3 linked regions of the Diceros bicornis minor genome follow. The protein of the gene in region 3 binds, or shares a complex with, the protein of the main gene of each other region. Links are inferred from orthologs where the notes say so. Each region holds a gene or a part of one and is shown on either strand. Other genes may lie near its edges. The genes, in order: KL, FRS2 and FGFR1.

Region 1 (3,742 bases), on a different chromosome or scaffold from region 3:
AATTTCTTATGAATACAAAGTCCACTGCATTTCTGGGAAAGATGGTTAGTGTTTGGCAAGTTTTTTCTGTAAGGATACAGAAATATAACTGAAAAGTTAATCAAAGGGCCGAGAGTGGGCACACGAATAAAAAGCATGTTGGCTATTTAAAATAGCAGAGTACCAGAAAGCTCCTCAGTCCCAACTCCTTATCGTATAAATGAAATGATCACATAAGTCACTATAATAACAACTGACGACTTCCGTATACATACAGAGTTTATTACATGCACTCTAAAAAGAGAATTTGCATGACTTAAATCTAAAGTAGTGATTTTGCAGAAATGGTCTCTTAGGTCCTCCAGCTGGTCCACAAATCTCTTATTTGTTTCTGGTATGAACTGAAATTTGCTTATGTTTTCTTCAAAAGAGGAGCCAATTCTTCCCATAGTTTTTCTATCATCAACGATAAACAGGTGGTGTTTGGAGTCTTGATTCTTTAAAAGGACTGACAGACTGAAAAAGTTTATTACCATTGCTCTAAAGTATCTTAATGAAAAGATACATATCAAAAGGAAATCACTAAAATCACATTTATTTTTTCATCAAAGTCCAACATTCTTTTATGATCTGTAGCAAACAGTTTTTGTGGAGCTAACATACAATCTAATTTAGCCATTATTACAACATTACCGGCAGCTCAGAGCACTAAGTCAGCTCAACAGCCCAGCACTGTTCTGCCTCAGTTACCTATGGCTTCAATTATAAGTGTGCAGAAGTGGTCTTTGTCTTGAATTTGTTCAAAATATGTAATTTAATTCTAAATTTAAAAATAGGTCTTCCAGTAGGCCCACAAATCACCAAAATACAGTACCAGAAGTTACCCATTTAAAGTTTCATGCAAATGTCTGCACATACACATAAAATATTCTCTCATGATACAAAACTCTATGAAGTGTACCAACACTGACATTATTATAAATGATCCCCCAAATCAATGGGACCTAATCTTGAACACTAAGTAAAGGAGAAAAAGGAGGAAGAATTATTTGAGAGACAACTTTATCATGGCATGTCAGTACTTCCTGCTGTCAAAATGTATTAAGCCTTTTACACAAGGGTGTTAAAATCAATTTTGTCAGCTAATAATCTCATCCCCGAGGAATCCTTTCAATTGGAGAGAGCATCCTGGAAATACAGTTGTTGTAAGACACAATCTACATTACCCTGTAGCTGTTTCTGTATTTTTATGGCTAGCTTTGCTTAAGAATGTGTAAGGAGTCTTCAGACTCCTGATGATTCAGTCAAGTTGGTGGATGCAGCAGTCCCCTGCCACAGAAGGAACTCCCAAAGACAGTTTAAACTCTCCCAGAAGATGGGATTTTGACACCTTCGCATTTGCTGCAGTGTGAACTTGTGCCACAAGCAACACAGATCTTACAGGATTTACATTGAACTCATGACATCACCACAAACTCTAGCAGAGTAATGCTATTTGTGCGGCTTCCGAACAAACTCGTGTCTTTCATCCCTCCTCATCTCCCTGTAGCTACTACTCGTAAATTCTCCCCGCCTCACCTCTAGGAATTCCCCTAGACCCAGAGAAAGGAGCTCCCTCCTCTCACTGAAGAAACTGATTCTAATTTCTTTTTGACGAATGTGCGCCAAAGGGCACTCACTCGCGCGCCCAACGCGGGATCTCCCTCCCATTCCCAACTCCACGCCTTCCAAGGGAAGCCCAAGCTGTTCATTTCCCCTCGGGGGGCAATTCTAGGTGACCTCACAAACTTGGTCAAATGGAGCCTTGTCTGAGCTGGAGGCTCAGGCACCCCTCTTGCCCCTGGCGTCTCCAGGGGCCCTCTCCCCGCGTGACCCTCCGCCTGGCCCCTCGAACTCACCAGGAGGAGGTTGTGCGCCACCAGGTACCCGAGCTGCGGGCTGCCCCGGACGCCAGGGGCCAGGCGCCCTGTGGCATAGCCGTGCCAGGCCACCACGTAGGGGTTGTCGATGGTGATCCAATACTTGACCTGGCCGCCGAAGTGGCGGAAACAGAGCTCGGCGTAATCTCTGAAGTGGTCGGCCAGGGCGCGGTTGGCCCAGCCGCCGTAGGCGTCCTGCAGGCGCTGGGGCAGGTCCCAGTGGTACAGGGTGACCACGGGCTGCACGCCCAGCTCCCGCAGCCGCTCCAGCAAGCGCCGGTAGTAGCGCAGCCCCTCGCGGTTTGGGGCGCCCGCGCTGCCATTGGGGAGCACTCGCGCCCACGAGATGGAGAAGCGGTAGTGAGTGACCCCGAGTTCACGCAACCCCTCCGTGTCTCGGAAGACGTTGTTGTAGCCGTCGCTGGCCACGTCCCCGGTGGCAGGTGGGGACGGCGAGGGGGCGCCCGTCGGTAGGCCGGCTACCAGGGGACCGCCTAAGGGCGCCGGGGGTTGGTGGGTGAACGTGTCCCAGATGGACGCGCCCTTGCCGTGCTGCTGCCAGCCGCCCTCCGTCTGGTAGGCGGCGCTGCCCACGGCCCAGAGGAAGCCGTCGGGGAAGGTGTCGTGGATGAGGCCCGCGGCCTCGGGGGCCGGAGGGCGCGCGAAGCGGGCCCAGGTCTGCTCCCCGTCGCCGGGCTCGGCGCGCAGGCGGCGGCCGCCCAGGGCCAGCAGCAGGAGCAGCGGCAGCGGCAGGGGCGGCGGCGGCCGCGGGCGGCGCGGCGGGGCGCGGGCGGGCATGCTGCGCGGGAGCCGGGCGCTGGGGCGCCGCGCTGCGCCCCTTTATGCCCGCGCCCCGCCGCGCCGCCCGCCCCCCGCCGGCGCGCCCACCCCCGCTTCCCCGGCGGGCCCTGCTGACAATAATTACCTGCGAGCCGGCGCCTCCCCTACCCTGGAATCGGGGGGGACGGGCTGGGGGAGGGCGGGGGCGCAAAGGGCGATGGGGTGTCCCGGGAGGGGGCGCGACAGCGGGCAAGGTGCAGCAGGCGCCACTCCCGGACGTCGGAGAAAAGGCACCTGTTCCTCGCTGCGCCCGGGAGCCGCTGAGGATGGCTCGGCGACGCAAGTTCTCTCCGCGCCGCCTTCTCTCTCCCATCCGCGCTCCTTCCTGGAAGAAGCCGCGGAGCCGGTGCGCGTCGAGGAGGGAAGGCGGCCAACCAACTTGCCCCGAGTTGGGCGCATCTTTGCCTGCCCTCGCGGAGTCCGCCGGCCGGGAAGCACCTGCTTCCTCTTTTCTCCCACTCGGAGGCCGAGAAAAGCTTTAGATCGACATTGCTAGAGCCGATTAGGAGTTGGCTGAAAGCGTATTGGGAGGGCACGATGAGGAGAGCTAGGTCGGAACTTGGAATGTTGTGAGAGGACTCGTGGCGGACTTTCCCTTAAGGTCTTTGGGTCAGATGCTCGCGTGGGGAGCCACCCCCCTCGCGCAGGGCTGGATGGCCCGTCCTCCAGGCTCCAATCTAGGAAGCCTTGGAGTAAGACAGAGGAGATGTATGGGTTGTGTTGAAACTTTGCTGTACTGTCCTTCTTACTCTTATCTTTTAACCATTTCAAACCAGTACTTGTTCTTGAATTAGATCTTGCAGAATTACTTGGTGAACTTCAAATGACAGTTGTTGATTGTTCTTCTAAAAACAAACAAAAAACAAAACACCAAGGTTTCGACTTTGAGTGACTGTCATTCACATTTATTATCCTTTTGCATCTGTTTTATGAATAATCACGTTTTAGCTTTCAGCAAGTAACTTATCTGGGCAAAGTTGTGCACGCTGCTGTGCTGGAGCTGG
Region 2 (3,742 bases), on a different chromosome or scaffold from region 3:
ACTTTTACCCAGTGCTGCGTTGGTACTAGGTATACTGGAGGCTCATCATGCATTTTCATTTTGAATTCCTACAATGATACACAGATGATTATATATGTACCTGTACACACACACACATTCATCAAATATACTACAAATGAGGAATCTGAGGCTTAGAGGTCAAGCAACTTGCCTAGGGTGAAAAAGTAAATGTAAATACAGGATCCAGACAATAAAATTCCAGAGCCCCCAGCTCTTGGCCTCTGCTGAAATTCCAAGTGATGATAGAATACATACAGGAGTATAATTTGGTTCCTGCCCTTCAAAAATTTAAGACTCTTGTTAGGGGTAGATGAGATTTATACACACGACACGAGTTAAAATAAAATCGGGAGCCGACCTTTGTGGTGGCATTGGGCTTGGTACCTTTGACAGGTTTCCTTCTCCCAAGATGTAGAGACCAGGCCAATGTCAGAGGATTTGGGACGGTTCCTTATACAGCGCCTACCCGTAGGAAGCGCTCAGTAAATGTAACTCATGATTCTTAGAGCAGGTGGACTGGAGCGGAGGGACACTGGAGTCAGGAGGCCGGGGTACGCGCAGGGCCCCGCACCTCAATTCTCTGAGCCTGGGTTTCCTCGTCTGTCAAATCAGGCGGCCGGGTAGATGGGACAGGCCCAGGGGCAGGGGCGGGGCCGCCGCGGCCGGGGGCGGGGCCTCGGGGTTGACGGGCAGCCGGGGGCGGGGCCGCGGGACAGCCGGGGGCGGGGGGACTCGGGGCAGCCTGGGGCGGGGCCGCGGGGTTTGACGAGCAGCCGGGGGCGGGGCCGCGGGGCAGTCGGGGGCGGGGACTCGGGGTAGCCGGGGGCGGGGCCGCGGGAGTGTCAACGAGCAGTCGGGGGCGGGGCCTCCGGGCAGCCTGGGGCGGGGCCGCGGGGGTGTCGGCGAGCAGTCGGGGGCTGGGCCGCGGGCGCCGCGCGGAGAGGCCCCGCCCCCGGGAGGCCCTGTCAGCCCCAGCCCGCGAGCAGTTCCGGTGCCAAACCCTCCCTGCCCCGCGCCCCCGGAAGTGCTTTTCCAAGGTTCGGGCCGGAGAGGCCTTGCGGGCACAGCGGGGGAGGCTGGATCGGCTCCGAGCGGGGTTCCTGCCGGGTCGGAGCCCGGGGGCCCGCGCGCGCCCGCCCTCCGCGCCCGGGCCGACGGTGAGTGGCCGGGGAGCCGACTGCGCCGGCCGGGGCCGCGTCGGGCGGGCGCCCTGGGGCCCCGCTGCCCCTCCGGGCTGCGGGCTCGGCTGTCGGGTTCGGGCAGGAAGGGGCGCGGGCCGCCGCGGTCGTCGCGGACCCGGGGCGGGAGGAGCCGGCGGCGGGCCGCGGGTGGGCGGGGCGGGCCGGGGAGGGGGCTCCGGGCGCCTTGTGGCTGTGGGACTCGGGGTGGGTGGCTGGGCCTCCGTCCCTCCGACCCCTCTTCTGCGCCCGGGTCCTCGCGCCGCCTCCGGGGTCTGGTGTCTGGGTTGCCCTGGGCTGGGCGCCGGAACAGCGGACTCTGCCCGGGCCCAGGTCCGGCTTTCGCGCGCCGCGCGCTGTCGGGGGCTCGGGGCTGAGCCGGGGTCCCGGGGTCGCCGCTCAGCCCGGGGCGGGGCGATGCGGGGAGGAGGCCGGGATCTTCGGCAGGCTCTTCGTCCATACTCGCTTCGGGGTTGCCCGGGATCGGTTTGGACTGCGCTGGGGGCCGGTTCTGGATACGTGGGTCGCTGTGGCACCAGCGTGCCTCCTGCTGTCTTTACTCCTTGGGAAGCTCGCTCAAGCTGTTGTTGAAGTCGCTTCTTAAGAAAACAACTTGCTAGAGGAAAATCAGTAGTTCAGGTAGGTTCCCTTATTTTCTTGCAGATTTAAAAGAATGATGCTGTTCTGTAATCTGCTAATCTCCAAATTCCTGTGGCTCTCTGAGGTCATGCTGGTTTGATGAGTTCAATCTGCGGTTGTTGCACGAATGGGTTGTAGATTGTTGGAGAATTATACTCTCTGTGCCCTGAAGTTTGTATACTTTCATAGTTAGATCTGTCATTTTCCTTAACTTTTAAAGAAACATTGTTCTCGGTAACCCCTAAGAGGCCCCGTGTACTGTTACAGCTGTTGCTGCAATGCAGAGGTTCACATAGGTGGGCAGAGGTGTTTTGTTTTATGTTGTTGTTGTTGTTTTAACTTATGAAGTGTTTACCTTGGGTAAATTGAACATTTCCTAGTGGAAAAAGTGGCGTGTAGTTATTTTTAGTGAACAGATTTTAGGTAATAAACTGCTCCTGAAAGGTTTGTAGAAATGAGAGTTTTCCGCTTTTAATAGTGATTTTTTGTGGGGAAGATCAGCCCTGAGCTAACATCCATGCCAATCCTCCTCTTTTTTTGCTGAGGAAGACTGGTCCTGGGCTAACATCCGTGCCCATCTTCCTCCACTTTTTTTTTTCTTATATGGGACACCGCCACAGCATGGCTTGACAAGTGGTGCGTCCATGCGCGCTTGGGATCCGAACCCCAGGCCGCCAATGGCGGAGCGCGAGCACTTAACTGCTACCCCTCCGGGCCGGTCCAAATAGTGATTTTTAGGATCCTAAGGGAATGCAGTCCCTGCAGGTGGTGACTCTGGGCAGGTGACCATTGTTTTCGCGTGTATAAAGTACACACAATCACCGTTGTGAAACCAGTGACATGTTCCTGCACTTCTCATCTGGTGCTTATATTAGGATTCATACTGTAGTTTTTTGAGTACTTATCTCATTCTCTCTCCTCCCACCACTGGAAGGGGAGGTAATACGGTGAATTAGGGAAAATAGACTGAAGTGACAAGTTCAGTGAGCTGCCTATGCAAAAGAACATTTATTTCAGGGTTGTTGATCTTCAGCAGGCAAAGGGTGGATGATTTTTAAAGTCTCTGGAAAAAGTTGTGGAGGAAGATTAGTTGCCCAACTTTTAGATTTAGGAAGAAAATTTAGATTCTTAGCTGTTTGAAGTGCTTCATTGTTTAGAGCATAAGGTTGGAATATTGGAATTTAGAGAATCTGGAAAAGGAGTCAAGTTAGATATGGTTATAGATCCATTACTGAAAGTATGGTGTAACAGTGGTTTTGAAGGAAAACATTTCAAGAATTGTAAGAACAGAAAAGGTACTTGGGGAAAATCGGATATGCTTGGGCATTGTATATTTTATTATGTTCATGTCAATTCAACAGATATTGGACATTTGCTTTCTTCGGCATCAAGCTACGTTAGGCAACCATGTAGGAGCGTATAAAGATACAGCCATAGCATGTTTTGGCAGTAATTTTCTAAGTTGTGTCAGAAATCATGAAGAGGTGAATTGTATTTAAGCATATTAAAATTTTTTTCTAATTGGAAGGTGGTGTGTGCTTCATGAAAAGCACTGTTAGGCATTAGGGGATACAAAGATTAAGTCTTTGGTCTTTAGAAATTTGAAATCTAGAAGGGGATGTAAGATGTTTACATAAAAATTTACAACATAAATATATGTAAATACTTAATATGTGAAGGTTTGACCTAAAGTTTGGAGTTGTAGGAAAGGAAAGTGGGTTTATTTTTAGCTGGAGTGATCATGGAAAGTGGTGGAGGTATAGTAATCCATATGAAGGTGGCTCTGAAGCTATTATTTATTGAGCACCTAGCACTACGCTCTATGCTAGTTGCTTTGCATACATTTTCTAAGCTTCACAACAACATATAAGCGTCTTAATAATGAGGACACTGATGCTCAAATA
Region 3 (3,742 bases):
GTGTTTTCAATTTGAAAGAGACTGGAAAGGAGAGGGTGAGAGAGACCAACTCGCCCCACCCTGCCGCCACTTTGGGCCATAAGGTGCTTTCCTACCTTAAAGGATTTTACCAAAACCTCCTCAACAATCCCACCCCTGCTTTCAAACCTGGAGCCGTTATTTAAGTGGCAAACTGGCCCACTTCAATTTCCGGGGACTGCAGCCCAAATAGCTCCTTAAAACGCAAAGGAGCACGCAACAGCCCCCGCCCCCATACACACCCTCGGCCGCCGCGCACGGGCTCGCTCCAGAGAGGGTGGAAAAGGGACGCGTGACGCCACCGCCGGGCGGCCGGAGACCGGACGGCGGGCTCCGGACAGAGTCCGACGCTCCCGCTGCTCCAGCTGTAACTGAAGGGACGAAAAAGCAACGCTTTGGTTCCAGAAACTTCCGTCAGGGACAGTTGTGGGTCAGACCCATGGCCAAAGAGGCCACCTCTGGCAGATGAACCTTTCGCAAGTGACACCCCCTAAGACCTTGGCCCTATCTCCTACGATCCTGCCCACGATGCCTCTTTTCTGCACAAGCTAGAAAGCACCACCACCATCTGATCCTAAATAACCCGAGATCCAGGGTAACCTTCTTTTCTCCCTCAATCCCAAAGCCTCCAAGTCTTAAGAAATTTTACAGAGGAAGGTGGTAAGGACCAGTCGAAGAATCTCAGTTTTAATCTGGGGGAGAGAGAAGGGAGGAAGAGGGATGTTAATAATGTGGCTGCGGTGTACCCGTGTGGGGAGAAACGGAACCAGATGTGGCCGCTACATCTGGAAAATGGGGGGAAAAGTGTTGGGGGTGAAAGACACCCAGAAACTTTTAAATGGACGAACAGCTTCCGGGCCCAGAAAAGAGAAGCTGGTCTCACACCCCCTCCCCAAAGGCGGCTGGCTGCCTTCATAGGACATGTGTTAAATGAACTCCATCTATAACGTCCATAAATTCCTCTGCAGATGAGGGTTCTAGCCCCTCTCTCCCAACCCCAAACATAATGCGAGAGGGGAGCAGGGGGCAGAAGGGTCTGGGCCAGAGAAGCAACATGCATCGCTGCCGAGTGAACCGCACCGGACAAAACCCTCATCCCTTCCCCCACCTCCTAGAACCAGATTGGAACTGAACATTCCCCTCCCCCCGACCCCATAATGGGGCTTAACATCACCCGCTGGGCGCCCTCCCCTTCCCCAAACTTCCGACCCTTTCTGAGATGGACTAAATAGAAGATAACCCCCTCTGGAAAAGGGAATTCCTTTCTCGCTCTCCGCTAAAGCAGATGCAGCCATTTGGTGACGACACCTCCTTAAAACCTAATCGGAGAGAAGCTAACCTACTCCTCCAGTTCCTTGCCTCATCATGCGCCCCCCCGCCAAACCCCGACCCCAGACTTTCCCGGAGGTGGAAAAGGACTTAGAAACACCCTGAATTTTTAGGGTTCCACCCAAAGCTACCTGCTGAATTGGGGTGAGTCCCCAATTCAAAAAAGAGACGGAGTGGAATGCAACACACACACACACGCACACGCGCACACACACACACACTCCCCCTCTCGCTGCCCACTCCCGCCCTCCTCCCCAGTCCGAGGACACTGAGGGCGGCTGCCGCCTTCGCCCCGGCCCTGTCCCTCCCCGGACTCACCGCGGAGCCGCCGCCGCCGCCTCGCCAGCTCCTCAGCGCGAGTTGGCGGAAAAGTTGGGCGGCAGGAGGAGCGGCGGGACGAGCGCGGGGAGGGGGCGCAGAGGCGACGCGAGCGGAGGGAAGGGAGGGGAGACAAAAGGGGGGCGCAGAGCGCTGGGGGGGAGTCGGGAGTTGGAGGGGGGCGGGTAAGGAGTAGAGGGAGGCGCCGGATCCGACTGGGCTTCGGTGGGGAGAGCGCGCAGCCGGGAGGCTCCGGCGCCGGGGGCCGCTCGGGACGCCAAGCCCGCCCCGGATCTGGGGGCGCCGCGGCTCTTACCTCACTCGGCGCTGCGGTTCCGCCTCTGGAGAGTCCGCCGTGGCTTGTGCGGGCGCCCGCGTCCCCGGCTCCGGCCCGCCACCCCCGGGCTCCGCTCGGGTCCTGGCGGGGCCGCAAGAGCCCGGCGGCCGGCGCTCGACTCCCGGTGGCGCTCGGTGCTCGGCGCCTCCAGCTCGGGCGGGAACAATGGAGCCGAAGCTGGTGCCCCGGAGGCGGGGCGGGGGGAGGGCTCCCGTCCGCCGCCCGGGGTCTCCAGACCCTGTGGCCCCCCTTTCCAGAACCGGGCGGCGGCGCCTCAAGCTTCTTGCAGACCGGGCTCCATCGCCCCGGCGCCGCGGCGTGCCCGACTGCAGCCCTGGTACGGTGCGCCCTGCGGGGCGCCCCTCGGACCAGCGAAAAGTCCTCGGTCTCCGCTGCTTTTCCAGCTGCGGCGCGCGCTCGCGGCCGGGGAAGGCGAGGTCGCCGCAATGCGCTAAGCAGAGTCTCGGTCCTCTCCGGACGTTGCCGCCCAGCTCCGGGCACAGCCCGGGCTCCTCCGCGCGCGGCGGCTGGACCAGAGTTCGGGCTCCTGCTCGCTGCCGCCTGCTGCCGAGCCCGCCGCACCAGTGCCCGCAGGAGCGCTCCGAGCGCTGTGCGCCGGCGAGGCGCAAGGGCTCGCTCTCTCACTCCCACCCCGCGCTGGTCCCACCTCCTCCTCCTCCCCCTGCAGCAGCCTGCTGGGCCTTGTAGTTCCCGAGCCGCGGCCCCCGGGAAGGGGGGAGCCGGCGGAGCTGCCTGGAACTCTGCCCCTCCTTCCCTGCACGCTGGTCTCCTCTGGCGCGCGTGCCCCTCCATCTGAGCACCGCCAGGAGGGCGCCCGAATTTCAAGCCGTGGACACATTAACGGGTTAGGGGGTGAGGTTAGGAGACTTGTAGCCCGAAGGTTGTCCGTGGTAGCACGGGCTTTGGAAGTCTGACTGTGTGTCTTGGAGAAATGCTTTTCTCACTCGACATCTCAGTTTTCTCATCTGTAAAAGGGCGATAATAATACTTGCCGCATAGGGTTGAGGATTAAGTGAGGGCTTGGCACATAGTTACTCAAGAAATACAAGCTATTTTTATTCAGGAGAAGGTCGAACCCCTCCTCAGACCCTCTCCTTCCATCTCACGTTCCCCAGCTACATAGTTTTGGTTTGGGGGTCCACGGGGAGCTGGGTCCGGTAAATTCTACAGCGCACTTCTTGGCCTCCAGAAGTCTCCAGCCTGCAGTAAATGTTTCGAAAGTAAAGAATGAGTGGAGGGAGCTGGAGGGTGTTGCTAGTTTGGAAATTAATCCGTTCCCACCCAGGGCACTCTCCAGCACTCTATGGAACCCCAGGAAAAGTGGCTAAAATGCCCTTTCCCCTGGGTCCTTCCATAGGATGGTATAATCTAAGTGGTTCCCTAATCCAAATGTACATGAGTCCTCTGAGGAACTTCTGAAAAATACATATTCTTGGACCTGCTCAGACCTGAGGAATCAGGCTGTCCCAGGAAGGAGCAAAGAGTCTGTACTTTTTTTTATGGCTCCGTGGTGCCAAGATGGGGACCACTGGTAGGGTGAGGAGGATGCCACACTAGGTATGAAAGATACCTCCATTCTGGTCCCCTACTTATGAACTGTTTGATTTTGGACGTCATGTGTCTGAAAAAATCAAGACTTGTTTACACGTTTCCCCCAGTTGGTTGGGAGTCCCTTACAAGGTTGTCATGAGAATCAAATAAAATAAGGGATGTCAGGGC

Evidence for each region.
Region 1: the proteins of FGFR1 (region 3) and KL are in contact, whole or in part, in a cryo-EM structure (PDB 7YSH), measured with the Homo sapiens proteins. The link is inferred for Diceros bicornis minor from reciprocal best matches to the Homo sapiens genes FGFR1 and KL. Residues at the interface, in NP_075598.2 of Homo sapiens: Asn272, Gln288, Leu290, His292, Ile293, Asn296, Gly301, Pro302, Leu305, Pro306, Tyr307, Val308, Gln309, Ile310, Leu311, Lys312, Glu322, Leu326, His327, Leu328, Arg329, Asn330, Glu334, Asp335, Thr340, Leu342, Leu349, His351; in NP_004786.2 of Homo sapiens: Ser539, Gln540, Phe541, Asp543, Leu544, Asn545, Val546, Tyr547, Leu548, Trp549, Asp550, Val551, Lys555, Arg556, Leu557, Val560, Val563, Thr565, Lys566, Arg568, Tyr571, Val573, Ala576, Glu625, Arg628.
Region 2: the proteins of FGFR1 (region 3) and FRS2 are in contact, whole or in part, in an NMR structure (PDB 1XR0), measured with the Homo sapiens proteins. The link is inferred for Diceros bicornis minor from reciprocal best matches to the Homo sapiens genes FGFR1 and FRS2. Residues at the interface, in NP_075598.2 of Homo sapiens: His409, Ser410, Gln411, Met412, Ala413, Val414, His415, Lys416, Leu417, Ala418, Lys419, Ser420, Ile421, Pro422, Leu423, Arg424, Arg425, Gln426, Val427, Thr428, Val429, Ser430; in NP_001036020.1 of Homo sapiens: Asn25, Val26, Asp27, Asp28, Leu33, Leu47, Thr49, Arg50, Asp53, Ser54, Val55, Trp57, Leu60, Cys61, Leu62, Arg63, Arg64, Tyr65, Gly66, Tyr67, Asp68, Ser69, Leu71, Ser73, Phe74, Gln81, Thr82, Ile86, Phe87, Ala88.

Annotation. Positions count from the first base shown.
Region 1 is NC_080748.1:15,778,904-15,782,645, reverse strand, and holds the start of KL (klotho), read right to left. Parts: upstream 2,697-3,742; coding exon 1,878-2,696; intron 1-1,877. UniProt on the Homo sapiens protein: May have weak glycosidase activity towards glucuronylated steroids. However, it lacks essential active site Glu residues at positions 239 and 872, suggesting it may be inactive as a glycosidase in vivo.
Region 2 is NC_080756.1:1,868,689-1,872,430, reverse strand, and holds the start of FRS2 (fibroblast growth factor receptor substrate 2), read left to right. Parts: upstream 1-1,098; 5' UTR 1,099-1,178; intron 1,179-1,445; exon of another isoform or gene 1,446-1,838; intron 1,839-3,742. UniProt on the Homo sapiens protein: Adapter protein that links activated FGR and NGF receptors to downstream signaling pathways.
Region 3 is NC_080768.1:35,047,845-35,051,586, forward strand, and holds the start of FGFR1 (fibroblast growth factor receptor 1), read right to left. Parts: upstream 2,603-3,742; 5' UTR 1,982-2,602; intron 1-1,981. UniProt on the Homo sapiens protein: Tyrosine-protein kinase that acts as a cell-surface receptor for fibroblast growth factors and plays an essential role in the regulation of embryonic development, cell proliferation, differentiation and migration.